Linked DNA regions of Astyanax mexicanus. The protein of the gene in region 1 purifies or fractionates together with the protein of each later gene. This does not show direct contact. Links are inferred from orthologs where the notes say so. Each region holds a gene or a part of one and is shown on either strand. Other genes may lie near its edges.

Region 1 (7,810 bases):
GTCAACAAACAATCCTCACCTTATTAAAGCTCTTAATTCTGACACCAACCATTCCACAGCCCTCGGGTGCATTTTGCAGCACAGTATAAAGTGCAGGATGCAGGTATGTTATGACTCAGGGTTGATTCAGAGGCAGCATAGTTATTATGGGGAGGAATTGAAGCCCTGTTTAAAAGCATCATTCATTCAGGGAGGTGGGGAGACTAATAAAAAGGCTTGTCTGTGCTAGTACTGATTCTGCTATTATATATCTGACTGGATATTTGTCATGTAACTTACAAGAAAGCATCAAGGTTAAAATGGCAAGACTGCATTCAGCCAACACTCCATGTTTGCAGTTTCCCCATCAGGGATTAAGTCTAGTCTTAGATTATATTTTCCTTTTAACAGAATTTGCAGTGTAGACCAAGACTAGACTTAATCTCTGTCTGGGGAAAGTGCCCCCTCAGAGAGCTGTATTGAATGATGATTAAAACAAGCAGTAAGGTGCTTTATACAGCTATTGTACACTGCCATCTAGTAGAGAGAACTTGTATTGCTCTTAGATGCGGAACATGCTTAAATTCTAAAGTAGAGACAGAACCAGGGTCATTTTTACATTAAACATTTAAGCATTTTATTTTACTTCAAGCACCCAAACCACTCCAGTTAATATTATGTTGTATGTAAAAATTAAATGTATTTTGGGAAATACAAACAGTAAAAAAAAGTGCAGATAAGAGGGAAATACATAGTTTCTTTGACTTTTATTTCATTGCAGACAGTATGAACAAGTGCAGGGCAATGTGGTAAAATTATAGTATAACTATTTAAAGAATGTTTCACTATACACAATATTTATCATCGTATTTATCCCATATCACATGGCAAAACAATTTAGTAGCCATAGAATTAAAACAATGCTAATTATTAAATTATAGGACATACAGTTATTTAAGTGTGACACTTTATCAATATAAACAAGACTAATTACACTGTCTAAAATTACATGTGCTCAGAGAGGCATATAATTTATCACAATAACAAATTTATCATTGCCATATTGCACAGCTCTAGTGTGAACCCATTTGTTAATATACATCCATTCCTGCATAACAGCATAACAGAAGTGTCAGCACCTTCTTAATCAGCATGTAAGCAATGTAAGGCTTTTGAAAAGTAATTATTGGATCATAAGAAAGAAACAAGCTGAATTTTTTATGGCCGTATCCCAAAAGAGAGAAATGAGTCTGGAGAAAATGTGCTGTAGGAATGTGCTCATCCTGTAGGTGCCCTTGGTTCCCTCTGCTGCTGATAAGTCTGGTTATGACCCCGCTTTTTTCAGGAAATCCTGTAAAAAAAAAAAAAAATGGACATCAGCTTAAAAAAGGAAATGTTGGGATGTGAAGAGTAATATATTGTTGTCACGTTGAGTCCAAATTATGAAAATAGTTTGTTTTTTGCTCATATCAGTGAGAATGTTACATGTGTTAATACACACAAACATATATATATATATATAAAGTCTTTTTTCCGCTAATATAATTATATGTACTTTGGAAATACAGTGCTTGTTACAGGCTTTTTTATTTATTGCACATTAACTAATTAAATACTGTTTGATGAAAGTAAGAACTTTTCTTCACTGAACTCTATCACTCTTAACTTAAACCTTTGCCCCTTAGTTTCAGGCAGCATTAATTAAGCTCTAGCCTGAAAATATTTTACAAGAAAGTAATTATCTCTGTTTTGTTGGATTCAAAGTACTGGGAATCACGAGACAGCCCTTTTTGCAGGGGTTGCACTTTTCCTCTTACTCTGGTCACAGTGCTGTCCTGTCAACATTTTTTTTCTAAGTGCTATACACACTTTTCACAGAAAGGGAAAGATGGACAGCAACAAAGCGAGGGCTCCTCCACTAAGCCCTCCAGAAGAAGATTTCAGGGAGGAAAAAATCTACGGGAACGTTTTTGCAGAACTTGAATTAGTAGAGCTGCCTCTGGGAACAACCTTAAGGTACAACTGTTAGTATTTGTATTAATTTTTGATCAATAGTTTGTAATGAAATCACTGTTTATATATATAAATTATATTAACTATACATAATAAAGCTGCATTATCACTCATGTCATTTAAAAAAAAAAAACAGGCCTGGACTGAAATTGACTGGAAAATACCAGTAAAGTCTGTATCTCAAAAACTAAGCTTTGTAAAATTCAATATTTTATTTTTTTTTCTACTTTTTTTTTCTATACTCTTCATGTGGCATACTTGGCAAGGAGAAAAAATCATTGTACAATGAAACTTGCTTCTTTACTGTGCAAATGACAATACTCTTTAAATTTTGAATCTTGGAATCTTTTCCTGTCAGACACTAATACTAAAACTCTCACTGTACTGATGAGCAGCTAAAACAGTCAATTATAAGCTAAACACAGTCTAATGCTTGTGTTCTTTGTATTTTTACATTTAGGTCACTTCATATGCACCTACTACTGATTTACTGGACTAATTACTGCTTCCACTACTATTGCTGCTACAACTACTATTGCTCCTAAAAACTCCTAATATTTATTTCTAACAACTGTTACTCCTACTACTGTTGCATCTACTAACTATACAACAGATTCACACTGCTAGTGTTTTTTTAACACTAATATTGTTCAGTACTGAGCAATAACTGGTTAACTGTGTGCTACTACTTTTATGGCTCTCCAAACGTGCTTTGGATCTCCAAGTAACAGTATTAGGAGTAATAGTCGTTAGTAATAATAAGACTTGTTAGGAGTAATAGTACTATAGCTGTAGCAGCAATAGTAGTGGAAGCAGTAATTAGTCTAGAAGGTGCTTCCCTCTGCTGACAACTTTTAAGAAGTTTTCAACTTTTAAGATTTCATTTTTCAGCAGTACCAATTGGTCTTATATAATGTTCCAATTTTTGGAGAAAGTGATTTTTGGGTTTTCATTGGCTGTAACCATAAAATAGATATGGGTTTCACATTTTGAACAGAATAACTGAAATAAAGTGACTTTTTCAATTATATTATAGTTTTTTTGAGCTGCATTTGTATAATATAAATGGGTCATTCTCCATTTGGAGTGGGAATTCAAGTGGATACATTTTAAAAAATCGATTTAATTTGTCCAGGAAACAAACAACCTTAAAATGTCTATTAACAACTCCACTTACCAAATATGCAAAATGGAGAACTTAATTCCAAATAAATGTAATATATTTTAACATAAAATGTTTTGCTCAATTTGTTACTAGTGTTATTCCATCTTGAAGAATTTATTTCAAAATACAATGTGGCTGAATGTGAAAAAGAAATTGCATTTAACTTAACATGTTACCAAAATATGTTTATAAACAAGCACTAAAATTAACTAAAATAAAGCGGTCTTTCTTTATACTTAAAGGCATCTTCCTATACTATTAAAAAAATAATAATAATACATTTTTTTAAATATAAGAATGAATAATTCTAACATTTCATGCATGATATGTTTATTAAAAATTTAAAAACATATAAAAGGACAAACATCACATGGTCACACATCTGTGACACCAGTGACATTATAGTTAAATTGGAGGATTTTGTGAAAAGCCTGCCTCATTGGCAGTCAAGAGACTGAGAGCAATGAAATAGAAGACATATGGCAATATATTTGATAAAAAAAAGTTACCTGATAAAGCAAAATACTGTCAAATTGATAAAATAAAATGAGCAAGTATGGACCTACCTTCTCATGCCTTGAGATGCTTATTCTTTGAAGACCTGTGACCCAAGAAACAGTTTAACAGAGCTAACAATATCTATGACAAAATATAATATAAGAGTCCTGATAACACCAGTGACCAAAATCTTTGTGACAAAAATATATTTTTTAAATAGAAAATATATATTTTTTAATGTAGTATAATGTTAATCATGTACATAGTAAGTGTGGATTTGTTTTATGAAATCTCAAAAGTTAAACATTTTTAATATTTCTTTTCACTAAAAATGTTTGCTCAAGTGTTGAAAATTGGTTGTGACGAGTTATTTTACATACGTAAAATAAAGAAATATTTTTAAATTTAAAAAAGGAAAATCTAAGAAATCATAAGGAAAATGTGGTTTTCATCTTAGGTTAACTGTCAAAATGTATATACTGACTCTTGAAATTGCCCCTAATATTTTAGGCTTTTTTTTAACCTTCCAACCTTTGTGACATGGTTTCCCACTCCAAATGGAGAATGATACTAATATTACTACTCCTGGTACTGGCTGGAGGCTGGGGAGTATTTTATAATAAACAGGGATGATCCTCAGCTTTTCTCCTCCTGGGCAGTTCTGGTTTTAGGTGTAAATAATCGCGCTAAATTTATAAATCCTGCTGTACTAAACTCCACACGCTGACCTCCTGTTGGCCCTTACTGTGTGCGCGAGCGCGATGCTCCTGAATGGAGAGGGGGGGCTCTCTGTCTCCACCTGTCGGCTGCCCCCCCCTCACTGCGCCTCCCGCCGCATTCTCACAACACACAGCCAACATGGCGGAGAGCGAAACCTTGGAGACTGTTACGGAGCATGAGCGCATTCTGCAGGAGATTGAGAGCACGGACACAGCCTGCGTTGGTCCGACGCTTCGGTAGGAGGCTTTGAGCTTGTTGTTTTGTCCGGGTTGTTGTTTGGTGAGGCGCTGTCTGTGTTCGCCGGGGAGGACGGATGGAGTTGGGCCTTTGTTTGCTAAAGAGAATCTAACGCTGTTAGTCTGCAGAATGACTGACTGACTGAGCGGTCCGTTACACAGCGCTGAGCGGAGGAATAAACCAGCTTCCGCTGACCGCCCCGCTAAAACCATTAGTTCTGAATCATGTCTGAGGGGGCTGGGATGGATGGGTGGATTGGGGCAGTTGACGGGCCGGGAGGCTGGCAGGATGGCAGGATGTGGGCACCTGATAGCCTGTGAGCCGCTGCCGGTGTTCTGTCGGGTTCTGTTACCTGTCGATATGTGCTGTTTCGCTGTTCTGCGCACGCGCGTACCCGCAATTTTAAATGTTAGTCATGATTCATGGGATTTATAAGAGAAAATGTTTCTGTTGTATTCTGCAGTTTTAGCTTACCGTTATTATTATTGTTGGGTAGTTTAAGAGTTAAAAAAAAAAAAAAAACCTACTTAAATATAAAAACCTGTATGGCACAGATTATTATTTTTTTTTAAAGAAAATGATAACCACCACTGCTTTAGCTAGCATTATTTAAACTACAGTGGTTTGGCTGCATGATGTCGCCCTCTGAGATTTAGTTGATTTTTATTGTCCATGTCTGCACTGATGCTTTAAAATCGTATGGTCATGAGAATTTGCCTTAAAGGTATGGAAAATTAATTGTAATTTATTGGTCAAAGAGTGTATGAACCCTGCTATGAATATACACTATGGTAGCACGATTTGACAAGGGAGCACAGTTAGGCACAACACCGGTTCAGGATGATACTGGTTGACTAGCTAGCTAACGTTACAGCTGGCTCAGCTAGCTTGGCAGTTTTCTTTCCGTTAGAGGATGAAATACGTCGGCGTGCGACTGTATGATGACTGATAACGTTAACGATATTTCTTATAGTGTACGTTGGTCATATATAGCGTTACATTGCTGTAAGTTAAGTGGTGGATAGTGGGAGCTTTAGCTGGGCTGTAGTCATCTCCTTGTCTGTCTATCTGTCTGTGGTCAGAATCGCAGGATGTGGCTGGTTCTGAATAAACACTTCATCCTAAACAAAGCCTGTGAAAACTAATCCACAAAAGCACAACCTAAAAATATTTGTTGTGATTTGATTTGGCTTAATAATCATTAGCGGGCGAGCTAGGTTATCTCTTAAGACCACCAGTGTCAGAATAGCGTAGGTTAGCTGGCTAGCTAGCGTATCTAGCTAGCCGATGTCCAGTTTCGCAGATCTGTATACCATACACAGAGCACAGTTGTGTGGAGGAGCATGTGTAGATCAGCGATTCTGCGCAGGACTGCGGGAAGTCTCCTGTTCACCCGCTGATGAAAGGAAGGTTGACTTACATAGCTAGTTCGCTATCTATCTAGGTTTACAGCGGTGTTTTAACAACGCTGGGACACATAAAGAGCATTTTTACACATTATTTAGCTCAGTCCAGCAGTGCTGGTGATTTACAGAGCAGACTTTGGATCTTGACATTGACGCCGCTCGTTAAGTGAAGCAGGTGACTGACTGACTGTCAGTGGGTGTGGTGGTCACGTTAGCCAGGAAGCTAACCTAGCTATTAAACCTTACAGTGAACATACTGAGTATACATCATTCAGTGAGTCTTTATTACCAAATGAAAATACGTGTTTTAGACCCTTTAGACTTTAGACAAGTTGTTCACTGAGATAAGTGATACTTTAGCTCTGTCACAGGTAAAGAAGTAGGCCAGGTGTGCTCAAATATAGCTCTGGAAAAAAATAAGAGATCACTTCAGTTTCTAAATAGGTTTCTCTGATTTTGCTATTTATAGTTATATGTTTGAGTGAAATGAACATTGTGGTTTTATTCTATATACTACTGATGACATTTCTTTCAAATTCCAAATAAAAATATTGTCATTTAGAGCATTTATTTTCAGAAAATGAGAATGTAGATTTTACAAAATTAACAAAAAATAAATAAAATAATGCAAAGAAATAAAAGTTAATATTCGTTTAGAAACCACTGCAATACTAAAGTCTTATATAAGGAGTTTACGATCAATAATTGGTAGAATAACCCAGATTTTTAACCACAGCTCTCATGTGTCTCAACATGCTCTCCGCCAGTCTTTCACACTGCTTTTGGGTGACCTTATGCCACCACTCCTGGTGCAAAAAAATCAGCTTTGTTTGATGGCCTGTGAACATCTATCTTGCTCTTGATTTCATTCCATAGGTTTTCTATGGGGTTCAGGGCTGGAGATTGTGATTGCCATGACACTGTCTTGATTTAGTGTTTTCTCATCCACACCTTAATTGATCTAGCTTTGTGGAATTGAGCATTATCCTGCTGGAAAAAAAACAGTCCTCAGAGTTGGGAAACATTGTCAGAGCAGATGGAAGCAAACTTTCTTCCAGGATAACCTTGAATGTGGCTTGATTCATGCGTCATTCACAAAGACCAAACTGCGCAATTGCTGAAGCATCCCCAGGTCATCACCTATCCTTAACCAAATTTCACAGTGGATTGCAAGTACACCATAGCAGGTCTCTATCTGAACATTTGATGGCCAGGTGTTGAGCAAAGCTGAAAATTGGACATCTTCTCTGAAAATTAAAGAAGATGACCAAACTCCAGTCCTCTATAGTCCAATTCTTATGATCTTTTGCAAACTTCAGCCTGGCTCTTCTTAGGAGTCCTACCCTAGGGGATTGTTTCGAACTTTCTATGTACTTCACCCCAGCTGGCATTTGCCATTCTTTTTATAGGTCTCTTAATGCTGGCTGGCATTTAAATAAGTTGACGATAAATCTCCAGACCTGAACCGCATTGAAAAACCTCCTGATTGTAATCATGTAAGATGTAAGTTGTTCTCAAGCCATTTTTGTGCCAGGAGTGGAATAAGGTCACCCAAAAGCAGTGTGAAAGACCGCCACTATGATTGGGAGATTGCTGGTTCCAATCCATGTCATGTAGCTTGCCATCAGCTGCTGGAGCCCTCAGAGAGCACATTGCTTGGTCCTTTTCCAGCATATTGTTTGAAATATCTAGACATCGGCCGATGCAATGATTCTAAAAGTAATTAAGCAATTAAAAAAGTAACTAAAAGCAATTATCGTACCGTAGTATCATGCATCCCTAGAAAGTACAT
Region 2 (8,492 bases), on another chromosome or scaffold:
AAATGAAACAAAGTCCAGATGTTGTCAATGGATGATTAAGTGGGTTGTTGATTTGTCATGTTTATATTAGCAGGGAAATATCAGTGTGATTTACACAGAGTGGGTGGAGATGTAATCTCACAGTGAATGGAGGTGTATCAGTTCTTTATGTTAGATTTAGTAGTGTATCACTTTTCAGTACATTACAGTGCATTATGAGGAGTACTTTAAACAATTAAGGTATTTTTTATCTGTTTCCAAGTAATGTTTAATATTTTAACATGTTAGTAACATTGTTATAACAGTGATTTAAACTAGCTGTATAATAATATTTCTTAAGCAAAATGACAAAATATTATTATTCTAGAATTTAAAAGTTTATGCTTAATAACACTGTTCTAAAAGGCCAATATCAAGATACCAAGAATTTACCCTCCTTAATAAAAAAGCTTGAAAAACTGATAATGTTTCCATACCAGTTAAAAAGTGCTTCCTCTGTAGTTGGTGGCAAATTAAAAACTGTTTGATTCACTGTTTTTGTGACAAAAAAAACAACAAATGAACATATCTCTACCTGTTTAAAAAAAAAAAAAAAAAAAAAAAAAAATATATATATATATATATATATATATATATATATATATATATATATATATTTCACAGATTAAAACTAAGCAGTGTGTGTAATTTTACATGTCAGTTTAATTATTGGTGAATATGTGACAACCTGCACTATATAGAACATAGAATCACTTGGAAAAAATACATATACACAAAACCTAATATCTACACAATTTCAGCTTTACAGAAGAAAGGTGAAAAACTTTAACTTTTGGTGAGTGTTAATGAAAAAATTATATTGCATTTATTAGGCAATTTTAGAGCATTTCTTTTGGTTCATTCTTCATGACATTCTGTTTCAATTTGAAAAATAACAAATGCTTATACAGAGTTTATTGTTGACAGTGAAAGACTGGCACAACTTTACAAATAAGGCAGAAATCCTTTATTTTTTAGCCCTATACATGAATATGTCAATTGTAAACAATTTAGACAAACCATGACTTATTACTGTACACTAAAACAATGGTTCTCCACAGCAACAAAAATAGGCTCCAAAATAATTCTTAGCTTGACTGTAAAGTACTGTGAAATGTAAATCCTTTAATTAATAGAGAATATTTAGATGTTTATGCACTAGTGTGCAAGTATTAACCTTTGTACTAAAATGCAAAGCCTTTCTTTTCTGTTGAAATTGAGCACCACCAACACAGACTTTCACACGGTGTGGAAGGTTCCCTGCTTCTACGGTTCCCCCTGTTGGTGAAGGTTGTAATATACACTGAAGCCCTTAAATAAATATTCACATCATAGATTTTCACATCATATTTTCTCAATTGCTGCACACTTTCAGAAAAAAAAACACCAAAAGAAAAATCTCCTTCCCCTTTTATATTGTCACAATACATTAATCAGCAAAAACTCCAATGTTCATCATTTTTTACACAACTCTGCACTAAAAAGCAACCTTAGTTACAATTCCACTTTGTAATACACTTAGCACTATATACTTTATTATTTATTGCAGTTTTTCCTAAATTTTGCAAAACATCAAATTTAGTAAAACACATACACCCAAATGTCAACTCTTTTCTCTTTTTTTAACTCCATCATGAAGATTCTTCATAAAGCTCTGGCAAGGGGTGTGTGTGTGTGTGTGTGTGTGTATTCGTTCCTTCACATGGCGCCTTCCCTCCTGGCGATGGGCCCATGGGAACACACTGGGACAGAGCCACTCAAATTAGACAATAGTAAAACAACACACACACAGTCGCAAGTATATATAATCTGAATATTCATCTATAACAGTTTTATATTTAATACAGGAAATAATTGTCTATTTAAAAAGTTGTTTAAGCTGGACAATAACATGTAAAAGACATTGCACTAATCATAACTTCTCAAAATAAAAATCTCTTCATATCACCTGCCTTATAGCAATACGCAATGGGCCATGGTTTACAGTAGAAGTATCAGAGTATTCACAGCTTTCAGTGGCTTTTTTGTCAAATATCAATTTTTAACTAACTAAATATACTAAATAAATAATCAAACATTTTTATTTATAAGAATTGCAAGAAAAGCAGTTTGTTTAAAGTCTGTGTTGGCCAGTGGACTGCAGGAAGAAAATAACATTGGATAATGAAGTAAGTTCATAGCTTTGTCATATAACAATGAAAATATCAAATAAGTGGTCAGCTCCTCAGTTTATTTGTTGATAAATATAAGAATCAGTCTGCTAACAACACAATGGTTTCAATAATTTGATACATCGATAGACAAATCTAAATAAATAGATTTGTTATAATAAATAAAGTTTGTCTGTTAAATATTTTACAATGGGTTTATGTGCAGTTCAGCAAAATAGATTTTACAGCTTCTAATATTCATCCATATAAATTAATAGTAAATCCTCATATTTTTCTTTGATTTCTTCATGTTTCTACTTAAGAAGTAGTTTGTACTTTCAATTAAAGTGGTAACAAGCAATTAAAATAGTTTTATTCAACTCAAATAAATATTTTCAATCAAATATCAGTATGTTTAAAGTATTAATCAAACCATTTTTTTTCTGTGGCAAATTGCTAATAGCCTTTATTTTCAGCAGTTATTGTATAGACCAGGCTTGGGGTCTTGGAGAGGTTGTAACATTTTAGAAAATGTAAAAAATAAATAATGATAATAAACGGTAAGCATAGTCATCATCACCATAGACATCACAAACTATATACATAAATCCCACTCCAGACCTCAAGTTATAAATATCAGACATATAAATAATAAAATATAATAAATATCTTTATGATTCTTAAGCAATATAATAATAGTAGTATAAACTCTTGTGAGTGTTTATGTTTATTCTACTAAGCTCAGCCCCCCTCCAAAAAACACACACACACCCTGGTTGCTTGCTTTCTGTCAGAAGGAACACTGTGCTGCCTCTGCCAAGACCAAATCGTTCTTGATCTCTGAGATTAAGCCGACATAATTAAAAGATTTCAGTCTCTCCCGGGACTCTCTGAGGCTTTATCACTTTATCAGGGGGAAAGTCTCCTTGCCTGAGATAACGGAGCGTGAAGGCGCGCTGCATGGGTGGCCGCTGAAGCAGCCACTATCCTAGAATAAACAGAAATGCAGGGAGAAGAATTCCAATGTAAAACCAAATCACAGTCAAATACAATTTTAGAGTGTATGTATAGAGATCAAATAACCACTAGCAATACTATAGTCTATATCTGAGCGTAATAATATTTTTAGAGTTGTAAAGTATCATAGAGTAACCACAATATAGTAAAGATGGCAAAATAATGACAGGTTATAATTTTGTAACAATAGCAGAAATTAAATCCTTCACAGAAGTGGATTGTATAAAAATGTGCAATAATTTTGGAGACAAAATCAGTAAGAGTAAGCTAAATCAAATCATAGGCAGTTCTGTAAAACTACTGCTGTATTAATAATAATAAAAAAAAATTCAGTGCCCCTTTGCGTGCCCATTTCTTTGGGTCTGCTCCTACTGGAAGTCTTACATAATTGCAGGATGTTTATTGTGTGTATGAGGACAGATTTGAGTGAAATGTGCTTCACAATAAGATGTTTTAGTTTTCTATCAGACATCATTTCCTGAGATACGACTCCCAGCCCGTCATACTTTTCCCATCCTTCACCACCCAGCCTTATTTTTCCATTTTTACTTTGAATTTAAAGACATTTAAAGTCAATTTTGTCAACTGTCCTCATTTGCACTACAAATATGGTTTGTGAAAATGTCAGAAGGCATCTAGACAAAACAGAAAAACAAATAACATATAAAGAAAAAAAACATATAAAGTCAGTCCAAGTGTACACAATTATATGTACCTGCCAGCTAATACAGTTTTGACTTTTTCAGAAAATTGCCCATCTCAAGGTATAATGATAGGCACACACACACACACACACACACACACAGATAAAATTAATATATATTTTTTAGTTTTACTCTTTTACTTCGAAATTCTTTGAATTACTTTTGAAATGACTCAAATCACTTTTTTAAAAGGGCAAATTACATTTAAAATTACATTTGAGCCAAAGAGAAAAGCAAAGCAATCTATCGAGGAGGCAAAATGACAAATGAGTCTTTTGCAGTTTTTGCTGGTACCTGTAGCACAACTTTGAAAATAACTAACTCAAATAGCTGTTAACCTGGTAGACTAAACTAAAAGCTCTTTATCTGATTTACATTCAGCTAGCAATTCTAAACACACTTTTAACCAAACACGAAATACTATTCCCTACATTACATACAGCAATACAAACTCAATACCCTTTTTTATTTTTGGATACACTGCCCTGCAAACACCATACTCATCTACCAGTTACCAAAACCCAGATACAGGTCAAAACTATTCTGCAACATTTCTTTTTTACAAATGTTTACTGTTTTCAGGATACTAGGCAGATTGTCCAGTCTAATCTGAGCTGCACCAATATAGCAATCAGGCAGTGTGGAAAGCTGTGTTATGGCTATGTGAAGTCTAGGCTATACTTCCTCCCACTGGTACTGTAATGTACTCTCCTGCTGTGCAGCACTATACATACTGTATGTCACTTTCATACTTTACTACAATTACTGCAGTGGATTACAAGTTTCTTTATAGTGATGAAGCTTCAAATCTGCCAAAAGAGGCACAAGGCATAGGAACCCATGCCTTCCTCAGTGTCGCTTGGAAGCATGGTGGCAACATCACAAATGGTGTGTGCAACCATTTGCCAGAATGAAGTTCATCATTATCACACTCTTGACAATACCCCAATATGATGACAATATGACTTAACATTCTTTTGTAGATGGTGAATATGTTGTGCTTCATGCGACCCTTGTTTCAGGTTTGCAGTGGCCTTTCCAGGCCCTATGGTTATTTAATTAAGCTGTGAGTTTTGGTACACATAACACAGTTAACAAAACTAATAATGCACGTTTATTTTAGTAGCTAGAGAATTTAGAGGAGGCTATAGCCCCTAAAAAGAGGCCTATGATTTAAATGCAGCTAAAATACTAACAATATTGCAACAATAATATATCTGAATGGTTTTGCTGGTGTTAAACTATTTCTTATTACGTGAAATATCTTGGAATGCCATGAGGAAGTGTTTTTTTTCTTGTGAAAATGTTTCACCTTTTTATCCAGACTACACTTCCAGCATCAACTCAGTCTGTAGCTAAAGTCTGTTCTTTGCAGTGACTGCTGGAGCAGGGAGGGGCCAGAGACGCAGTGACCCGGATGTACACTGAGCGACCAAAACAGCCACAGCCCCTGGTAGAGCGGTGATCTGCGCTAGATTAGGTGGGTTTTAATCTAACATTACACCAGTTAACACGCCGCGGTTTTTATATTAGGTGGTCTTTGTAAGTAATTTATTGTAAAACAGTGTTTTTAGACCTGTGTTTCTCCTGTCAGTCCTAAAGACTGCGCCGATAGCTTCAGAGGCTAACCAGCCGCTCCGCTAACCGAGCTAACTGTTTTTAGCCTCAGCGCTAAGGAACTGTAACGTTAGACTTTTAAACAAATGTAGTTAATTAACGAGGTTATGGTATGGTAGCTAACCTAGCTGGGTAGTATTTATAGCAGCTCTTTGCTGTTCTGAAACACTCCTGTTTTTTTACACTGAAAGCGGTGGTGAAGGTGTTACACCAAGCTCAGCTGTGCTGGTTTGTTATTCTGCTAATGGTTAATAGTAACGCTAGTAGGTGAGCTATTTTGTTTTATTATAAGCAGAACAGATAAGCTGGCGTTAGCTATCTACTGCTGTATGTTAATTTATAGGTCAAATTGTATTTTGGTAATTTTGAGGATAGAGAGCTGTTTCTGAGCAGAGCTGGTGGAGGACAGGGTTCAGTATCTCTCTGCTTTAAAGTGAACCCACTAAAGTACTTTTAACAAATGCTTTAAAAGAGATCACTGGCCTGTTTATTAGAATTTCATCTGCTTTGATCCTCTGACTAACATGACAAGTTTACAGGCTACAGGCATTAATACAGTTGCTGTTGTAAAAATCATGTGACATCCTTAACCGCCTCCCTGAATCAGTTACATACTAGCCAAGTCCTACATTTTCACCTCTCTTACATTTTTTCAGACTGCTTGAACACAATTCTGTATGCTGGTTTTACAAAAAAGCTTTTCACAAAAAAAAAAACACACTTCCAAACTGTAAAATACTTAATTGATTCTGCAAAATAAAGCACAGAAACCAAAACCACATATAGCATTATCAAAACCAAACTTTTGCACCTAAGTGTACACAATTATTTCATATTAACAATTTTTTGTTTATCCACCTACTACTTACTGTTGGGAATAATGAAAAGCGCTCTCATCTTTAGTAAGTTTTGTCACACTACTAAAATAGTTGAAATTGTAGAAAAGTCTTCAGATTGTTCACATGCACAGACAAATTTGCACATACACACACACATACTGCTGTAATTTTGTTTTTCACCACCCAGTGAATAACTGTAATTTTACAATCATTTTTGGCAACTGTTTTGACATTTCCTTATTGTAAAATTCACAAGAAACGTTTTACATTGTACAGTGGCAAAAAGTCAGAGTAAAGTGAAAGGTTGTTATTAAACATGCACACCCCTACTTCATATGTGTTTAATTTATCACACCATCATACTTTTCATTCAAAGAACAATAAATTTTGGCCAACTGTCCTCATATGTACTGTAAATATGATTAGTAAAAAGATCAAACAGCAACTAGGCAAAAAAAAAGATACATTTTTAGATTGTAATGCTTGTTTTTAAAATATATTAGGCCAACAATATAGTGCATGTGTACACACTCATATGTTTATAAAACTTCGGTTTATAAACCATTTTCCTAATTATTTTTTCTGTCTTAGATAGAGATTATCTTTACACGTGCAAGTGAAACAAAAAGGGAAAAATATGTAATATCGCCTACCTACATTCTCAGTGTAGTCTACTGTATGGTTTAATATTTAGTTTTTTTTTATGGAGATGCTACAGAGAGCACATAACCTTGGATGATTTTTAAGAAAACATTTTCAGAAAGCTGATGTAACAGCATTGTCCTTTAAGCTTGTTGAATAATAGCCTTTGTGCTCCTAGTTTAGTAATGCTGTGTGAAGGTGGCAGACACAGCTACTGGGTAGATTAGGGAGAATACTTGCAATGCTGTATCGGTTTTCTTGTATCAGGTTTTAATCAGCAGTTTACACGGAAAAGTTGTTGTCAGACAGTGATTTAACCAAAAGATATTGTTGATACAGTGATACAGTAATGTACTTGTACTATCATTACAGTTACAATTAAATATAATTTTGCCACTTATGCAAATAAGCAAATAACTCTCTGAAGAATTGAATAATAATGTTATCTAAATTAAAATAGTGCTTCTTATATATTAGAACTAAGCTGTAAAATACACTATGTGTAGAGTTGTAGATATAGCTGTAATTAGAGCTCTATAGAACCATGACATTTTTAAATATTGAAAAAATTATATTTGATTCAATCTTTGTGTGAAAAAAAACTTTATAGAACCTAAAATATTTTTTTCACCAAACCATAATTATGTGGGACAATTACATCAGGATCATACAGTTTAAAAAATATATCAGACAAATGTATGTGATGAATATTTAAAACTGATATTTACAATTTTAAACAACAAACAATCCTTACAGCAGATGCACTGCCTTTGTTAAGCAGCATAGATTTGCAGTAATCACATTTAATATTTTTCTTTGTCCTCTTTGCATTTGCAGTGTGGGAACAATGTCTCGTGCCCGCCAACCTCCTCTAGTGACTGGCATCTCGCCCAATGAGGGCACACCATGGACTAAAGTCACTATCCGTGGAGAAAACCTGGGAACCGGACCCAATGACCTTATCGGTAACATGCACAGTGCTGAATATATAAAGACTTAATAGTTTAGTCTAAAGGGAGTAATCAAAAGTCACAGAGATGTATTTAAGTGACTCTTTTTTATTTAAATGTTTAATGTGAAGGCTCTGTTTATCATGATATTCAATTTTTTTTATTACTTATTTAAAAGAAACATTTCTATTTATATATATCTTTTATTATTATCTGAAAATGAGCACCTGTTTTCCAGGCTAAGAGTATAATTCTGCTTCTGTATTCCTTTCAGGTCTGTCTATCTGTGGTCATAACTGTCTGCTGACGGCAGAATGGATGTCTGCAAGTAAGATTGTGTGTCGAGTTGGTCCTGCTAAAGATGACAAGGGCGAGATCATAGTCACAACCAGGAGCGGAGGCCGAGGCACATCCACTGTGTCCTTCAAACTCCTCAAACATGAGAAGATAGGTTAGAAATGCACTTGCATGTTTTAGATCTTTCTGTGTGTATATAGTCATATACAGCAATGGCAATTGTTATCTTAAACAAAGATTAGAATTGTGGCAGCAAAT

The links. The genes of interacting proteins can lie anywhere in the genome.
Region 2: the proteins of exoc6 (region 1) and exoc2 purify together in Homo sapiens (affinity purification with mass spectrometry; 5 studies listed by BioGRID and IntAct, counting the BioPlex papers as one, with this or other methods). This does not show direct contact. The link is inferred for Astyanax mexicanus from reciprocal best matches to the Homo sapiens genes EXOC6 and EXOC2.

The regions. Positions count from the first base shown.
Region 1 is NC_064422.1:23,191,090-23,198,899, reverse strand, and holds the start of exoc6 (exocyst complex component 6), read left to right. Parts: upstream 1-4,371; 5' UTR 4,372-4,426; coding exon 4,427-4,611; intron 4,612-7,810. UniProt on the Homo sapiens protein: Component of the exocyst complex involved in the docking of exocytic vesicles with fusion sites on the plasma membrane.
Region 2 is NC_064408.1:76,634,871-76,643,362, reverse strand, and holds the start of exoc2 (exocyst complex component 2), read left to right. Parts: upstream 1-5,257; 5' UTR 5,258-5,369; intron 5,370-7,824; 5' UTR 7,825-7,834; coding exon 7,835-7,952; intron 7,953-8,211; coding exon 8,212-8,388; intron 8,389-8,492. UniProt on the Homo sapiens protein: Component of the exocyst complex involved in the docking of exocytic vesicles with fusion sites on the plasma membrane.